2 linked regions of the Caenorhabditis elegans genome follow. The protein of the gene in region 1 interacts with the protein of each later gene in a pairwise test. Each region holds a gene or a part of one and is shown on either strand. Other genes may lie near its edges.

The links.
Region 2: the proteins of nstp-3 (region 1) and mig-38 interact in a two-hybrid assay, tested with the Caenorhabditis elegans proteins (one large-scale study listed by BioGRID).

What each region holds. Positions count from the first base shown.
Region 1 is NC_003283.11:5,792,408-5,799,852, forward strand, and holds nstp-3 (UDP-galactose transporter), read right to left. Parts: upstream 5,778-7,445; 5' UTR 5,722-5,777; coding exon 5,651-5,721; intron 5,605-5,650; coding exon 5,464-5,604; intron 5,277-5,463; coding exon 5,138-5,276; intron 5,008-5,137; coding exon 4,785-5,007; intron 4,070-4,784; coding exon 3,938-4,069; intron 3,740-3,937; exon of another isoform or gene 3,528-3,739; intron 2,830-3,527; coding exon 2,708-2,829; intron 2,663-2,707; coding exon 2,456-2,662; 3' UTR 2,375-2,455; downstream 1-2,374. Other genes in the region: ZC250.2 (N-acetylgalactosaminide beta-1,3-galactosyltransferase), read left to right, coding at 1-73, 582-805, 1,243-1,402, 1,453-1,905, 1,964-2,043, 2,092-2,374.
Region 2 is NC_003282.8:11,591,243-11,602,051, forward strand, and holds mig-38 (Abnormal cell migration protein 38), read left to right. Parts: upstream 1-3,001; 5' UTR 3,002-3,082; coding exon 3,083-3,090; intron 3,091-3,139; exon of another isoform or gene 3,140-3,356; intron 3,357-3,453; coding exon 3,454-3,553; intron 3,554-4,067; coding exon 4,068-4,289; intron 4,290-4,339; coding exon 4,340-4,438; intron 4,439-4,937; coding exon 4,938-5,166; intron 5,167-5,213; coding exon 5,214-5,341; intron 5,342-5,395; coding exon 5,396-6,779; intron 6,780-6,937; coding exon 6,938-7,240; intron 7,241-7,287; coding exon 7,288-9,407; intron 9,408-9,463; coding exon 9,464-9,566; intron 9,567-9,685; coding exon 9,686-9,813; 3' UTR 9,814-10,461; downstream 10,462-10,809. Other genes in the region: spe-36 (EGF-like calcium-binding domain-containing protein), read right to left, coding at 389-452, 504-653, 704-823, 868-998; F40F11.3 (BOD1/SHG1 domain-containing protein), read right to left, coding at 1,109-1,138, 1,182-1,269, 1,317-1,420, 1,468-1,614, 2,759-2,761. UniProt on the Caenorhabditis elegans protein: During gonad development, involved in distal tip cell (DTC) migration from the dorsal side of the hermaphrodite body to the midbody which allows for the formation of gonad arms.

The sequences.
Region 1 (7,445 bases):
TAGATACAAACTTACTGAACAAAGAGTAATGGAAAGGAGGAAGCAAATTTTAGCAGATTGTGAAATATTAAAGGTTTGAATTCTTAGAAAAATCTGTCTTTTAACAAAGAGGCTTATCAAACTAAATAGCGCCCGTTCAGCGAATTTCAATCGGAAAACAGTTTACTGAACAGAAGATTTATATTACGGGAACACAAAATTCCGAGAATGCGTACTGCTCATCATATTTGACGCGAAAAATATCTCGTAACGACAACTACAGTAATTCTTGAAATTACTACTGTAGCTTCCATTTTCCCTCGTTTCGCCGTGTACTTTTCTCATTTTTTGCAGAATTTTAATATTCTATCGATAAAGCAATGATTAATTCATTTCAAAAAGCGAGCACGTAAATCGACACAAACGCTACAGTAGTCATTTCAAAAATTACTGTAGTTTTCGCGACGAGATATTTTGCGCAATACATTCTCAGAATTTTGTGTTCCAGTAATATGTCCACTTTCTAAAATAAATTTTGGACGAAAAAAACTAAACTCTCATAAAATAATCCTAAATAGTTACTGAGAATCACTAAATTTCAGCTCTCTTGTTCCGTTTTCGACGCTCTAAATGATTTTTCCACGGAATCTTATCCTCAAGGGATGTGGACTATAGTTCCCGCAATTATGAAATTGCCGTTTATTTCTGATTGGATAATCATCGCAGAAGATACTTCTGAAATTAATATTTCAAACTTACCGAAGTTCTTCGAATCTGAACCATCTTCTGATATGGTATTTTCCGGGTTTGCACTTCAGGATCGAGAGTAAGTTTGAGATTTTTTAGGGAATTTTAGCTTCGACGAAAAACTACGGAACCTGGTCTCGACACGACCGATGATGTAAAAAAAGAGAGATGTGTGTCTTTAAAATGTACAGTAGTCTCCATGCCTCACTGGTTTTCTTTCGTTTTCCAGTTGCTCTACTTTTTCATTTTTAAAAACCGAGTATACGAAAAAGCTGCAAAAAACAGAAAAGTTGGAATTGAAAAAAAAACAAACCGAGAGACTACTGTACTTCTTAAAGGCGCACACTCGTTTTAATTTGAACAGATTCGGTCGTATCGAGACCTGTTACTGTATTTTTGCATTACAAATTGTAAAATTTCGCATCTGCCTAATAGAGAAATGATAGATTTCAAAATTTCAAAATTTCAAAGTTTCTACAAAACAAAAGTCCAAAATATAAAAAAAAAACTGTTAAGCCCGACAATTATCCATCACTTTGGAATGAATGCTCCTGAAAATTTCCAATATCCCTTATTTTCTGCTGGTTTTATCTTGTCAAAAAGTGTAGTTGAAATTATTCGAAAAGTCGATATAAACGATCGATGGTCCGGATTTGCAATTGATGCAAAATATGAGGTATTACCATTTCCAGATAATATTATTTCTCAAACGATTTCACATTTTAGTTTGCTCAGTTTTTACACAAATGGGAAAATTTGAGGCTTCACCATCATCCTGATTATTTTTGTTGTGGAGATACCATTGATAGTTGCATTGTAAAATGTTCAATTCCCTTTCCAAAAACGTCAAATTCAATTTCTGATTCTGAAGTTCATGTCATGGTCAAAACGTTCGAAGGACATCATGTGAACCGACTTGAAGTTCTCAAAAACACTTGGGCATCCGACGTGTCACGCATAGAGTACTGTAGCGACAAAGAGGATCCGGCAATTCCAACAATCAATCTAGGAGTCGACAATACGGACAGAGGACATTGTGCAAAGACATGGGAAATATTCAGAAGATTTTTGGGAAGTTCTGGAAATGGAGCGAAATGGCTTGTAGTAGCCGATGATGATACATTGATGAATTTCAAACGGTTGAAGCAAATGTTAGAGTTATATGATTCTGGAGATAAGGTAGGTATTTCTAATTTCATAGATCTTACTATTAATGAGTATCTTTAAAACATTTCAGATAATTATTGGCGAGCGCTATGGATATGGATTTAGTTTGAATGGTGACAGTGGATATGACTATCCCACTGGCGGATCTGGGTTTGTTCAAATAGTTTTTCTAGATTTCTCAATTTGTTTGACTTTCAGAATGATATTCACGCGCTCCGCAGTTGAATCTTTACTTGCACAATGCCCATCGTGTATTGCAAATACTGATCCGGATGATATGACGATCGGAATTTGTGCACTAACAGCTGGAATTCCAATTGTTCACGAATCTAGATTACATCAAGCGAGACCTCTAGATTATGCTCCGGAGTACATAAAATATCCAATATCATTTCATAAATTTACTGATATAGATCCAATTTCAGTATATTACGAGTACCTAGTAGAATTAGAAGAATATAATCACAAATCTGAGCTTTAGGAAAACGACATGTATAACAGGAATGTGTTATTGTTATTACGAGTATCATTCATTGAATAATAAATTCTTCATCTTGAACTTCTACTTTTCCGGTTTAATCATCAAAAGTGACGAGTTTTGTTGCGATTTCAGATATGCACTAAGCTTCGATTCCGGCTCTTGATACGGGAATGCGGTATAAATAATTATTGAAACAATGACCATAAATGTGCCAAGAAGGAACATAAAACCAGGAGCAAAATCAAAAAGAATCCACGATCCAACCGCAGCTCCGATGATTGCCATACTCTGTAATATATTATTTTTGTATTGGACATCAGATGAATTTCTTGCCTGAGCATATGCTTTTAGAATGTTGTCGGCGTACTTTATTACCACAGATATCAATATTCCACCAACTGAATTGGTGACTGTCAAGCAAACGACCACGAAGTCCCAACCACGGAATGCGCCTTCTGAAAAATTAGAATTTTTTAGAAATAAAAGTGAATTTAAGTTTTTTATCATTCTCCTGTTTAAATGATAATTTGTAAATTATTGATTTTAGAAATCTACAGTATTTTCTCTATGCACCCAAAATTTTGACGGCGTATATATACGCCGTCAAAATTTACGCGTATATCTTAGTTGTCATTTGTCCTATAAAAAAGTTATCAATTGATAAAATGTTTATCATTTCTTTTTCTATCGTTTTGCAACTGATTATTTTTTGATATTGTCAAGCTGAGTCAAGATATACCTACTTAAAGTAAAGTAGTGGGGTGAAATACTTTTAGAGGAGATACGGTCTTTTTACAGATGAATTAAGCAAACGCGAAATATGAGAAAAACGAGCGTTTTTACAATATTTGTAACCTAAAAACTAGAGTTTTCTGCAAGTAAAATACTCATGGTTCAATTCAAAAATCGACTCGCAAGATGTAAGCTGCTTCAACTTTATCCAGGGCCGCCTTGATAAAAAACATTCATCAGCAAAAATGGAGACAAATATGTGCACAACATTTTCTCACTAGAACTTTTTTTTTGAAAAATAAACTTTTATTGCCATTTTCTAAAAGATTCCCTGATTTTCTTACCAGCGAATGTTCATTCTTTGGCAACAATTTTGTTTTCGCCGTTCTCGACCTATCGCTCGCGCCACACTCCCCCCACAAAACCATTGTTATTCATCCGCGACCGTTTTGAAACACTTGATGCAACGAATGCAGAAGCTCTCTTTTCTTCATGCTCACATACAGAGCAACAGGCAATGGTCAGTGTGCAAACAGAATGCGGGTGGGGCAAGCATGTGCTCTGGCTCTGTTCCTTCCATCGGATTGTCTGCTTTTTCAAGAGGTGTGAAAAGAAAAGAAAATTGACAATGGGCACGGAAGGGGTGAAGCGGATCCATCTCTTTTCTTTTCTTTATCGAAGACACACTCAACACACAACTGTATACCTCTCAGGCTACGACCGATGATCTTTCCGGTTTCATTGACACCTCCTTACAACCCACTTTTTTCAATTTAAAAGTTTTCTTTCGAAATTCGAAACCCGGTTTACTTAAAACTATTAGCAACTCACGTTCATTTATTTTTTCCCAGTCATAGTACCACATTGAAAGAAATGAAATTGGAAGTCCGATGAGTGCAAGACGAATGTTTTGAACCCAAATTGATGCATTGCTAGATTTCAAAACTTTTTCCAAGTAGACACCTGAAAAAATAAAATCAGTTCTATTTTGGGATAAGAGAGGGATAACCTGGACAAACAAATCACTTGATTTCAAAAAAAAGTTGAACATCAAATGGAAATGGTCATTCAAAACACAGAGGATGTGTTATCTACCAAAGCTATTATATAAATAATGGTACACAATAGGCACTACTGTATTTTTAAGATAAGTAACTTTTTAGTATAATTCTTTTTTGTTGCAAATTTCCATGGGAATGAACATTTGAAAATTTAGATTGTATTAAAATTTCTCACAACAGCAACTTCGCCGCAGTAAAAGCAACTTCTGCCTCCCACAACTTTACTACCAATTTTAACAACTTTCCAGTTTGGCATGTATACAGTTGCTAGAGTTGGACTGTTGTTGAAAGCCCATTTATTGCAATAAAAATTTCCAATTGTTATTCTACGACTACAAAAGCTCAACAATCAACTCAATCAAGGTGAATGGTCCATTGGAATATTTGGAGATGCTCTTCCATATTTTCAGCAGATTTTTGCTATTACTGGCATAAAAAGTTGTGAGTTAAATGCTGCAAAAAACTTGTAATTTAACCGTATTTTTAGGTGTACAAAATATTATTGTACAAAATAATGTCGTAGTATTGAAAAATATACAAATGAAATAGCCTTATCCCAAATTCCCTTTTTTTTGCAAATTTCCATCCGGTCCTTCCAAATCATTTTAAACTTGTACCTGCAAATGCTGAAGTGAAACACATTGTGAGCACTGCCATGAATCCATACATTGGGTTCTGCTCAACATCTTCACTTGCTGGAGGCGGTGAGTATACGTACTGAATGTCAGCAACTCCCAACACCAAGAGAACAAGTGCCCACCACTGTTTCGTTGACAATTTCTTTCCCAGGAAAAAGTACATGAAGATTGCAGTTGTAAAAATTTTCATTTGATATGATATCTGAAAAAATGAACCATATACTGAATTTTGAACATATTTGCGCATTGTTCCTATGATCCCCTATTTGTTTTTCATGTCGCCGAAACACTTGACTTTTTTGTTTCTGTGTTCGCTTCCTCAAGCTCCTTACACAGAAAGTTGTCGCCTCCAAATGGGATAGAGCAATGTAGTACAGATTGTTTTGAAGAGTGTAGATAAGGGCTGGAATGCAGACTTTCAGAGTTTCAGAACGATGCTCAAATATTGCCAATTTCAGCTCGTTTATGTATCTGGAAATAACTTTAATAGGAAGCTGAGAATGTCAATTTTTGTAGATTTTGAGATTTTTAAACAAACACGATGTTTACATATTCATAAAATTTTGTCAAATTTAGAGCAATTTTTAATCGATGTTATAAAATTAAATCGACGATTTAAAGATAACAATTTTTAAATCAATGAAAAAAATTCACTCACTTCATAACGGATTTGGTTGTGTAAATCATAATTGCTGAGCAGACCACTACTTTTATAATTTCCATCATGAATACATTTACAGTTGTAAAGAACACATTCGAATCTTCTCTGGCTCGAGAGTACCTAGCCATTAATGGCATGCTGAAACTTCCCACATACAAACTCAAAAAATATTAACAATGCCCACCTTGCTTGTTGAATAGTGAGCAGGAGAATACCAAAGTATTTAAACTTTGAGTCATTTTCACTTGAACTCATTTTGATAGTTCAAGTGCAGAGTATAGAACTGATGAAAAATGGAAGAATTTAGGAAAGAACACGAAGATGAACTAGCTATTCGTCTGGGACGACACGATGACGATGAAGATTGCTATCGGTTGACGGTTAGAAGCCTCCTGAAAAGATCCGAAATTGTGATTTCAATTAGATATATCCGTATGAGAGGAGACAGGGGAGAATAAGGTGGATAATAAGTTCAGTGAGGTGGATGCCAAGATTTGGACATTTTTCAGAATGGATACTTTATGTACATCAAAACTACACAGCTTATAACAATGTTATTGTATGAAAAATCCCTGAAAAACGAATAGAAATGGAAAAAACTGGTAACAATCCTTCACCAGGTATCCCAATGAAACGCTTAAAATCCCATGTTCATGTGTAGTTTGATCAAGGATGCAACCAGCATTCGAGGAACCTGATGATAATCATTCGATCTTCCAGATTATTCGCCTTACAGATTTAATTCAAACCACCGTAAGGGTATTTGGAAAGTATAGATTCCATGTAACAACGTTTATACAAATAAGTTCACTCCTGAAAAATATTTATTCTGGTATAAAATTCGAGAAAAACCTTTAAAAGTTGTCTTAATTGTCATTGCTTTTTTGGCATATGGCAACTTTAAGGAACTATTTGAGGTCTTTTTCTCAAACTTTTCAAAAAAAAAAAATTCTTTCAGGTAGAAAAAATATTTTCCAAAATTCCTCGATTAATTTTTGATTTAAAAATTTCAATAATTAACCTGAAAACAACAGTTTTGTTGTCTAAACAGTTTGCAGCACTCCAATGGCTCTAACGATACTCGCCGTGAAGACACGCTATGCCTTGTAGTAGACGTTTAAGTTTTGATGAAACGTAAAGGAATGGGAGGGTTACAATATGTCTTTGATGGCCACTAGGAGCTGTTGGTAGACCCAAGCTGAAATGAATGGCTTCAATGCATTTTCAACCTTCAGACGACAGGGAATGATTTGTTTTATTTTTATCGCCTATTTGCCAAGCGTTTCAAATCCTCTGGTCAAGTCTATCTTACTTCTGAAAAAATTACCAAACTTTCTAGAAGTTGCTTTTGATATAGAACCTTTATTTTTGTTTTTCTCTAGTATTTAAAGTGTTTTATTTGCTAGCGCTTGCATTTTCAATTACTGTTTCATACTTTCTATATGCATATTAACTTTTACAAGTTGAACTACACCAGGACGCTTGGAATCTCGAACATTCGACCTTCTTCCGACGTTTTGTTTGACATCCGACAGCCTATTGATGTTCTAAAGATATGATCCGGATTTGGGGATTCGGCATCCCTATCCACTTGAATGCTTGCCCTCTGCTCAATTCTCACCTCTTTATTTTTTCTAAAATATGCAAAGACAAACACAATCGGGGCGGCAATGTGTCATCGAGTCGCCACCATGCCTTTGTTCTCTAATGAGCGAGGAGCGCATGAGATCGTTTCCCGAAATACTTCCGTTCGCCCACCCCCCGTATTCTTGAACTCCTCCTTCACATATTTCTTTGGCATATTTCAGTGATTGTCTAGCCACAAGTCTCCAGAACCCCCTCGTCAGCGGCTCAGCGACACTAGACAAAACGGCGAACGAACTTTCTCCTCTCCGCTGCTCGCCGCGTTCTATTCGTGACCCTCTCATCTCTTCCTCCATAGCGCCTATTTGCTCCACCCCCAAATAACTCCCCATCCT
Region 2 (10,809 bases), on another chromosome or scaffold:
GTTTTCCCTATTTTGCAACTTTTCATTAATGATTATTTTATTTTTTTTTTTTTTTTAAGTTTTTTATTTTAAAAAAACCTGGCCTCGCTCCGACTGATATAATTTCAAATCGAGGCGGCGCTAATAATGAATGCGCCATTAAGAAGTACAGTAACCCGCTCTATTTAATTATCGATTCTTAAATTTTCCTATGTTTTTAATATTGGTTTTTCATGTTTGTTGTAATAGAAAACATCAAAGAAAATTTGGAGAAAGCGATGCATTTGGTTACTGTACTTTTTAAAGACGCACATTTAAAAAATATTTTTTTAGCCTTTCGTTTGAACTTTTAAAGTGTCTTCTTATGAACAATTTTAATAAATTGGTGGTAAGATTCATGAATTCAAACCTGTGAAGCCGAAATCTCCATCCCGAGTCGTTGATCATCAATTATCTTTTTCATTGCCAACTCACTAAATCATCAATATTACTTAAATCTAAAAAAGAAACAATGATGAACTCACTCCAAATCAATGTTATCCTGCAAAATCCACGGCTGTATCTCACTAATGTTACTTATAATTGTGTCCAAGCATATTTCAAGTCCCTTTTTACACTCTGATCCAATATTTATATCAAAATCATATTCAGGTGATGGATATAGATGTTCGAATCTTAAATTTTTGAAATTTTTTTTTCAAATAATTTATTAAATAGAATTTACCCATTTTCTTCAACACCCCAAGCCACAAGTTTTTTGAAAACTCGAAAATATGTAGCTAAAATTCCAATTTTAACGGATATCTCATCTGTTCGATCTTCCACAATTATTCGAGAGTACTCGCTAAACTTATGATTTTAAAATTGTTTCTTTCGTTGTCAACGCACTCCTTAATTGCACTATTATAGTCTACGTTGTATGAAGTCAGAAGCTTGAGAGTCACTTCCTCGTCATCTTCAATTGACGAAGCCGGTGACGCAAGAGCTATGAAGAACAGAATACATATTTTGAAATTCATCATTGAAAAAGTGTTATACACAAATTGATAAATAAAATACATTCAATTTGTTGAGATGTGTTGACAATTACGTGACGACCCGTGAATTGTGAAGCGGCGTAAAAAGACGATCAAATTGAGTTCTCCAATTGTTTGTTAACCTTAAAAATATTAATTTGTTTATTAATTCTTGTTTCAATTCACTTTTTCATCAATTTCTTTGTCCAGTTCATCGTGCACCCACTCCTTTTCGAACTCCACGCGTATTTGTCGATTAATGTCGTTGCGCATTCTATAAGAGAGATAATTCAGATTTTAACCATTTCCTCACGGACTCACTTTGCATTTTCATTCATGAAATCTTTCATTTTCCGTTGAATTTCTTCTTGCGTAAGATTCGCTGACGATGCAATGATTTCATCTACTTTAACCAACATTTCATTCTGTAATACATTTTATTCAATTATTGTATTCTGACAAAAACACCAACCTCAATCCGGTGCACCAATTTTGAATCCTTGACGTGCTCAATTGCTTGTTTTCGCAGTTTATCGAAAGTTCCTCCTTTTTTCAACTCCATCTCAACATTCCCCACGATTTTGTCCTCATCGATGTATGGGCAAGACATTTTTTGAATCTGAAATTTAAAAAATTAAATGTTTTCACAATTTTAAATGAATGAACAAATAAATATTTATAAAGAATTCTTTAAAGAATTAAGAAAAACTAATTTCCCTTCAAAAAATTCTCCGTAAATCGACAGGGACTAGAAAATGCTAGTCCGCGGCCATGACTAATCAGAGTGAAAACGCGCTCCAATATCTAGCGAACAGTTTTTTGAAAGTTAGTTTTTTTAATTTTTAATTTTCTATTCTCTCATTTATAAGTAAAAATAAAACTTAATTGTAAATTAAACAATTTCAATTTTTATTCATTTTTATAAAACAAATTTCAAACTTTTTTCCGAGTATATTTTGAAAAACGATTCTCACCTAAATTATATTTATGCGGATGTTTTTTCATGGAACTTTTTATTTTTTTCAATTTTCGTCTTTTGAGTTTTAATCATAAAACTTCTAACTAAAACCTTCTTGTTTTCTTTTTTCAAATTTGTATTTAAACTTGTGCTCTTCATTCTTCAATTTTTGAATGTGTAATTGAAAAAAGCATCAAAGAAGTCATACTCGCTAAAAACAATGTCAAGAAAAATCTCATGCCCATGCGTTCATTTTTCTCTCAATATCATCACGTTGATGGTTACTGGTGTATGCTTGTATGCGCCTCTCGTTGTGAGCGTCAATGAGGAAGACCAGTGTGTAAGGGGGTAGATGCAGAGACACATCTGTGATGAGACGAGAGATGCAGACAGTTAAAGATAGTGTAGAGAGCGTACTCAATGGTGGAGTGTTCTGTTCAGGTCTCCTCGGTTAGTGCTGTGTCTAGTTGCGTATACACATACACACACTTGCTTTAAAATCAATTTGCGTCTTCGCCTATTGCAATACAAAACGGTGTGTGTATGTATGCGGGTGTATCTCTATGTATATATATATTTCTTTCTCTGACGCCATCACACCCAGAAAGCATCGATGCTTTCTCGTTGGTGATGATGACGCTGATGGTGATGATGATACGTTTGGGGCGCATCGAGCTTTTTCTTCGCTCGTCTGAAAATAAAAAAAAACATATTTGTGCTTATAATTATTACCGCCTCACCAAATGGTGTCTTGAGAGTTTATACGAGCGATTTTTGTTAAGCGCTGTCTTACTAAGACCCCTACCATTACTTGTCGTGTGCGTCAAAGCATATGACCTTGTGGCGTCCATTCACTGCGTCTCTCGATCGATACCCGTGCCTGTGTCTGTGTGTGTCTGTTTCGCAGCCGGCATCGCCTTTTATTCTCCCCTCTTACTAACTTGCGTCCCGTCTCGCCCTCTTTCGATCTCCTGTTTCTTCTTTGTGCATTTTCTTCGAAAAATTGCATATAATTAATACAACAAAAAACAAAATAGTCCATAATTCCAGACTTAATCAACACGTTCGCCTACACGTTTTGCGATTGTGAGGCGACCTATGGAAACAAGATAATGATTCGGAAACAATAATGTCTTAGTAAGTGCACAATATTTTGGTTTATTTGGTATCATTGATGGGTCTGCATGCAGCAGCGCCCACCATGTCCACACCGCCGCTCCGTGTGTCTCTTTTATATGCACGTTCGTTTGGCCACGCCCATGCAGTATGAACTTGTGGACGCTCCGCCCACAGTCTCCCCCGTCCCTTGTCTCGCCGCCTCTCTTAGGCGGGGGCACAGCAGGAGGAACGAGGAGGAGATGCAGACTGAAAAACGTTTTTGACATTGCCCCAACGACGGTGTGGGCGGAGCCATACACACACAGCGCGGTCTCCATTTCATTTCATTTTCACTCCCAAAAAGCTGCTTGACTAACCTCTGATTTTTTGTTTTTTTTTCAGCGAAGAGGATGACTGGTTCTCGTACAGAACAGAGTTCAACAAACGGGCAGACAGTCCACGAGCAGCCGGGAACTATGATTTTGAGTCTGGAAACATTGATGTAAGTGTCATATCATGGAGGCCCAGAAAAACCCTCTTGAAATCAACGCGGGAATGCTCCACTCCTATGCCATGGGTCTCGTTAGGTATTTTCGTATGTCGTTTTGTTCGTTTTTCCTCTTTCTTAATGATTTTCTTGCAAAAATTGAGTCAATTTCCAACTTCACATATATTTACATATATTCAGCATAAAATGCGCTAAAACAACGGAGATCATAACGAAAAAAAAACGAAAATTTGCAAAATCAACATAAAGTTCTTCCTTTTTGTGATATCCTTGGTTTTCAATGATTTTTACACTGAAATTATGTTTTAAAATATATTTATATCACTTGTTTATGACATCAATTTCGGCGAGAAAATCAATAAAACAATGAAAAAACAACGAAAATGCTTGGAAATTGGCGAAATCACGGGTTTTCCGCTAAATACCTAATGAGACCTTTATCTGCGTACCCATAATACTAAATGCTCTTCTTTTTTTTTTTCATTTTCCAACTTTCATCGCTTTACAGAACATCCCACTCAATGATGACGGACCATTATCACCCAGTCAAGATTTCGATTTAGCTGGAACACTCGAGGAATACGAATCGTATGATTTGAGATTATCACCGAACGGAGGACTCAATCGAGAAGATCAACAACCAGGTCCCAGTGGAAATAACGATGGACAATATCATGTTATGCAGAATAATGATTCATTTGCCCAGCATATGCAATCATCGAATACAATTGTAAGTGTTCACACACATGATCACTTAATTATCAATTTTCATATTTTCAGGAGTATAACTCATTCGAAATGCCCACTGTTATCAATTCTAATCATGACGTCGGCCCGTATCAAGATCTTGGTATTGATGACCCTAATTCGTTTTATGCGGTATGTTTTTAATGGAAAAATTGAAGTTCAAAAAACTTTTCGAACAAAAATTGATATAAAAATGTTTTTAAAAAATAGAAAAGTCCGAAAAAGAGTTCGAATAGTACCGGAAAGTGAAATTTTTACCGGCAGAGGGCAACTAATATGTAATATTTGAGGTCTTTGTCGAACTTTTCCATAGAGTAAGGAAAACATTCATTTGATCTGAACATTTTTTTGTTGCAAATTCCAGAAATTAGCACAAAAAATCACATTTATACCGGAAAACGGCAATTTTTGGGCTCCAATTAAGTTTTTCTGAAGCTTTTCAGCGAAAAAAAAAACTATATTTTGCTACATTTTTATATTAATTTTTGATTTAACAATTGAATTATGATACTGAAATTTACAGTCCTGAAAAACTAGAACCTAGAAACATTTTTTAAAACTCTGATATTTTCTATATCTAAAATATTAAAATTGAAGTTTATAAAATTGTTAAAAATTATTTTTCTTTCAGAATCAACAGCCATCAACGTCACAAGGGAATGATATGATAATCAATGAGAACTATGAAATGATGGGTCCATCGACATCATATATGCCACAAATAGATCATATGAATCCTTCTGGGAACTCTTCTTCGCAGATTAATCATCAACAGGGAATGATTGTTCCACAAGTTCAACAACAGCCCGCAAAACCGAAGACAACAAAAAAGAGGCCTCCACCGAAGAAAAAGACAGCTGGTAACTTTTTTTTGCCTTATTTGCTCAATTTATTTGATTATTTTCAGCTCAAGCGCCTGATACAGTTGGTACAGTACTCACGAAAGTGAATAAATTAACTCAACAGATTGACAACAACAACGACAATCAAGAACAAAAAATTGAGACACGAATATCTGCGGAAGACTTGGTTCGAGTATGTTTGATTAAATCTTAAATCTAAAAATTTATAAATAAAAATTATTTTTAGGTCAGCGCGCTATTGAGCAGATTGGATGTATATCAGAAAGAACAGGCACAAGGAAATAACACTCATGATCAAGATATTGAAGCGCTTCAAGCTGAAATAGCACAGGTGTTTACCAAGAATATGGCAATGAGTGCGAATGATGCTCCAGGAAACAGTATACTTAGTCAAATTCAAAATCTCACAAGTATTGGTAGCTCAGCTTCATCATCTGCACAGCCTTCTCAACCTGCCAAAAAAGCTGCTCCCAAGAGAAAAACCGTACCGAATACGGCAAAAAATCTCGCTCAAAATCAGCAGATAATGCCACCACAGGCTCAAATAACGCCTACCAAACTCGTTATGGATCCTCCGACAACAACGATGGTTCCAAGTAGCAGTCAGTCGAATCATATGTATAGTAATGATGGCTTCACGACATACAATCAAATGGATGAACCCGGAACGAGTCAGCAACAACAATATAATGATTATCGACAGCCTCCATCTCAGGAATCAATGCAATATGGTCACCAACAGATTATTCAAGCAAGAGTTGTGCCTTCTATGAACCAGAAAACTCATAACTATCGTCAAGCAGTAGTGTTTGCATCTCCGAATACAAATGGACCGTCATCACAACTACAACGGCCACAATCCGGCATGGATCAAATGCAAGACCAACAATATCATGCTCAGGATCTTCAAGGATCCCAAGTTCAACAAACATTCGTTTCTGTACAACATGACGGGCAAATTTATCAAGAAGTGGAGCCAACGTTGAGAGATTTTGTTCGACAGGGAAGGTACCAAGGTCCACAGGATGCACCGCATCTTCGGCAACAGTTGATCACAAATGTAAATGCGACAACAAACAAGCAAATGGTTCATCGAAGTCAAGATCCGACACCATCGCCTGGAAACCTCCAACAATTCGGTGAACCTCTTCAACGCCATGGAAGCTATCCACATAGTCATGATATGAGACCAAATTCACATTCACAATCTCAACACAGCTACAGTAATCATTACGATGGAGCCACCGAGTTCTTTGATGTGTCAATGCAACATCAAGATAGTCAAATGTCACAAATTCAACCAGGATCACAACATTATGTTCAACAACAAGAGCTGTATCATCCAATTGGAGATCAACAACAAATGGTTGAACCTGAATCAGAATATCCGGTTCCCCAGGTTACCAATGAGTTGAGCGAAGAAGAGTTGAGAGCTATAATGGAAGAAAAACGACAGATTCGACAGAAACGATTGAAAGATATCATGATAGATCAACTGAATCGATTAGAAGAGCCCGTGGATGTAACTCCTTTCAGAAATAAGATGGATGTTTTGGAACGACTACTTCCATATCATCATTTTGCAAATGAAGAAGAACCAGTGTCAGATTGTAAGTTTTTTTTCAATTTGGAAACAAAAACTAGCTATTTGAGTATCGCTTCAATGAAAATGAAAAATGTATTTTTCAATTAAAAATAACATTGAAACATTAAGAAAAATGTTTTTTTTTTAAATTTCCTCAACCCTTTATCATTTTACGTTTTTCAGTTGATTCTACGTTTCAAAGAGTTATGGATAATGCTGTACATCAGGCGAATTCCATCGGAAATCGAATTCGAAATATCGTACTTCGTGATACTATGAGATCTTCGACAGAGTGGGAAGAGAACATGATCTTGTTCCTTGAAACAGAATCGGAGCGTCGAAAACTGGAAGATGATAAGAAATTGGCTGATCAAGATCTGAGCACATTTTTGCGTAATAGTGATATAATTCAAAACGTGAGAGCTAGAAGATTGGATGTGGAACGAACGCGACTAAGGGTTCCTCGAATTCCAGCACATTTGAAAGGTTGGCAAAACTTTTTGAAAAAAATCTATAATATAATTCTTTTTCAGAACTTGATCTTCAAAACGGCCAGCTTTCGTCGCTGTATCGAGAATACGAGTTCGATTCATACGATGAAAATCGTCCACGTGGATCACCATTTGTCTACGAAGAGCCAGAATCGGAATCTGAGTCGGAACCAGAAGCAGAGCCAGAACCGAAGAAGGACAATTTCGCCGAACCGGAACCAGCTCGTGGCGATATTTCTCCACTCATCGGTTTCCCTCAATTATCACCGATTCCTTCTCCGTCAAGATATCGAAATGAGAGTGAGAGCACGTTTGATTGGAAAGATGAAGATGAATCCCCGTTGTTGTCTCCAGAAACTGAAAAAATCAACAAAGCTGCAGATCAGTTTCGAAAGGAAATTTTTGGGACTCAAGAAGATTTGGATAAATCGGAACCATTTCCGTTTGAACAAATATCTGAAGCTGCTCGGAATCAACATCTCATCACAGCTCAACCACAACTTCCTCGAGTGGATGCCAGCTCAATTGGATCTCTTGCAAGTTCTTCATCGACAGTTGATCACAGTCCACAATCCATCCATCCAGTTTTCTCACCCAAAGCTGCAATCCAGTCAAGTTCAGTTCAAGTTATGAAGCCTCCACGAAGTCCTAGTTCTGTTTCGTGTAAACTATCAACGCCATGTGTTGAACAGTCTCTACCAGAGGAAAGTCATTATGAAGGTTCACCTGAAATTGACGAGGATTATGATATGTCTCCGATCAGAGAAAATGAGCCGGCCGAACTAATTTCACTTCCAATTTCAGTAAATATGATCAAGAAAGAGAAAGAGGATTCTACTCCAAAGTTGAAATTACGGATCCCAGCTGCTGTTCTTCAGAATGGTATTGTTGCAAGTGAAGATGAGAGTGATGTGGCAGTTGAGGAAACTATTCCTGCGATTCGGAAGCCGCTTAAGCTGAGGTTCAATCTAAAAGATATCAAGTTGGAAGAACCGTCACCAGATCGAGATGTAGCTAGCAGTCGTCCAAAATCGAGAACTGAGCCGCCTCCAACTCCAGAAAAGTTGCATGTTAAGATAAAAGCTTCACCAGCTGAGACGACGCCAACGAAGTTACAATTGAAAGAAAAGTCGCCAGCAAAAACGCCAGTTTTCAAGACTCCACTGCAAACTCCGATCAAGATGACACCTTCGCCATCTGAATCGAGAAAACGTAGAAGTGCAAAAATCGAGGATAGTCCAGCCCAGAAGAAGAAACTTTTGAATTCGGGTAGCAGCTTTGTAACTCCAAAGAATGGATTGAGGGCTGAACTGGACGAGACTGTCGAGAGACCTCTACGAATTATGACCGATGGACGGAAGATTGTGATGAAGATTAGCAAAGTTTCGAGAAACATCAATCACTTTGTTACACCGCGCAGAGATAAGAAAGGAAATCTTCATAAAGATCTATCCCCGACGAATTATACACGATTAACGATGAAGCTGATGAAGAAGAAAGGGGAATTATCAGTTGAATTCACTGAAACTCCCAATAAGAATAGTGAGGAAGACGATCATAAGATTCCAAACATTCCTAGCACGAGTACTTCAATTCCACCTGCTTCAACAGTCGTTTCTTCCGTTTCCGTGAAGGGTAGACCTGCTCCTGCTTCAAGAAAATCGTCGATCGACACTGCTGGAAAGGACAAGAAAGGGCAATTAGCAAAGAATAAAGCTGCGTTTTGCAATCGTTTTAATCCTTTCGCAAACGTTCCCAGTTCGAAACCATCGACTTCTTCTGCTGTTTCTGCTACTCCCTCAACATCTTCTGCAGTATCCGCAAAGCTTCCAACAGGAAAGACACCTGGTCGCCCCGTCGCTCTTTCAACTCCAAGATCTTCGCATAAGCCACCACAAGCAGTTGTTGCTCCACGTCCAAATTTGATTCGAACTGCTCCGGTTGTACCGAAAATCACTGTCACAAATGCATCGGAGAGCAGTCTTCCTTCTAAATCTCATATCCCAATTGAAGTGAAACCAAAGTTGTCTTCACTTCTTCCATGGGTATCAGACACCGATGAAAGCCCTGAACAGAAGCATAAATTGAAGAAAACGATGCCTTCAATTAATTTATTAAAAGTGAAAACGGAACCTCCGGAAGCTGATGCTGTTACATCAAAGGTAAAATTATATTAATTTTAAAAAAATGTATTTAAATATAAAAATTGTATTCTTAGCCTGAATCTCCTCGTGCATCATCGTCGATGTCGTTTTTTGAAGACGCATTTCTACGATCCCCAAAACGATCGAATGAGCCACTGCCTGTTGTCGAATTTTCTGGTGAGTTCAATTATTCATCAGTTCCAATATAAATATACTCAAGTTATAAATAAAAGTGTTTGAAAAATTCCCAACTAAAAATAAATAGATTTCGTGATTTAGTTTTTTTTCAATTTCAGACGACGAGGAGAACGATTTGGCTCATTCGACATTCAGTCATGCCACTGATCATTTGCTAGGAACTAGCAATATGAACAGCTCAACAAATGGATCTTCATCAGGTCTACCTTGGTCCACGGATCCCTAAGTGCCATACGACGTCTCATGGCTGGTCCATCAATACAATCCCCATTTCTCAATTTTCTAGACTGTGATTCTGCCTTCCCATTCCCAAAAATCATCGAGCCCGTTACATTATAGGATATCTATGTGCTTACTATTTATAATCTCTCTTTTTTTCATAACTTAAGACCTCTTTCTCATTCATTTTCATGGTGCTTTTTTCTCAAACCTTCCCCATCAAACACATCCTTTTTTGATTTCATTGAAGAATCGGTCTCGACACGTACACCACGTCTTTTACAGAAGAAACCTCCCTATGTACTCTTCTGGTTGTTCTTGTCTAATAGTCAATTCACTTTTCGAATTTTTTTTTCCATCGAACTCACTATTTTCTCTTTTGTTTAGTCAATCTACCCCATTTCTCATTCCGTGCTCAAAACTCCCTTCATTTTTCATTGTTACATTTTTGTGAGTTCCAATTGATAATTGTGATTTTCGCGGGTACGAGATCTGTTTTCCAATTGTTATCATTTATATTTACTTATTCCTGATTTTTTTTGTTCATTTTACATATATATCTGTTCCATAGATGTAGTTTTTTTTCCATTTTCAAAATGTATAATTTAAAGTAGTAAATACTTAAAATTTTACAAAAATAGAAAACTGATATTTTTATCTTATAGCATTTTTCAGAGAACGAGATGATGATGACTTTCGTATCTGTAATATTTAGAAAAGAGAAATATTCGGAAGAAAATATCACGAGATTCCTTTGTTGAATGCATGAACTCATTATTTATATTCGTGATTTTATTGTTAAGTTTTGAAAAATGAGCTAATTTTGGGCCGACACGAAATTAATCATTTTAATTCATTAGGAATCCAATTGGAAATATATTTTCGAAATAGAATTCAGATTCGTCGCGTGATTGCAATCTAATTTCTTGATGGCACTCATCGGATCAATTAAATTGAAAATAACAATAATAGGAAAAATTCAACAGAATGCTGGATTTCTAAA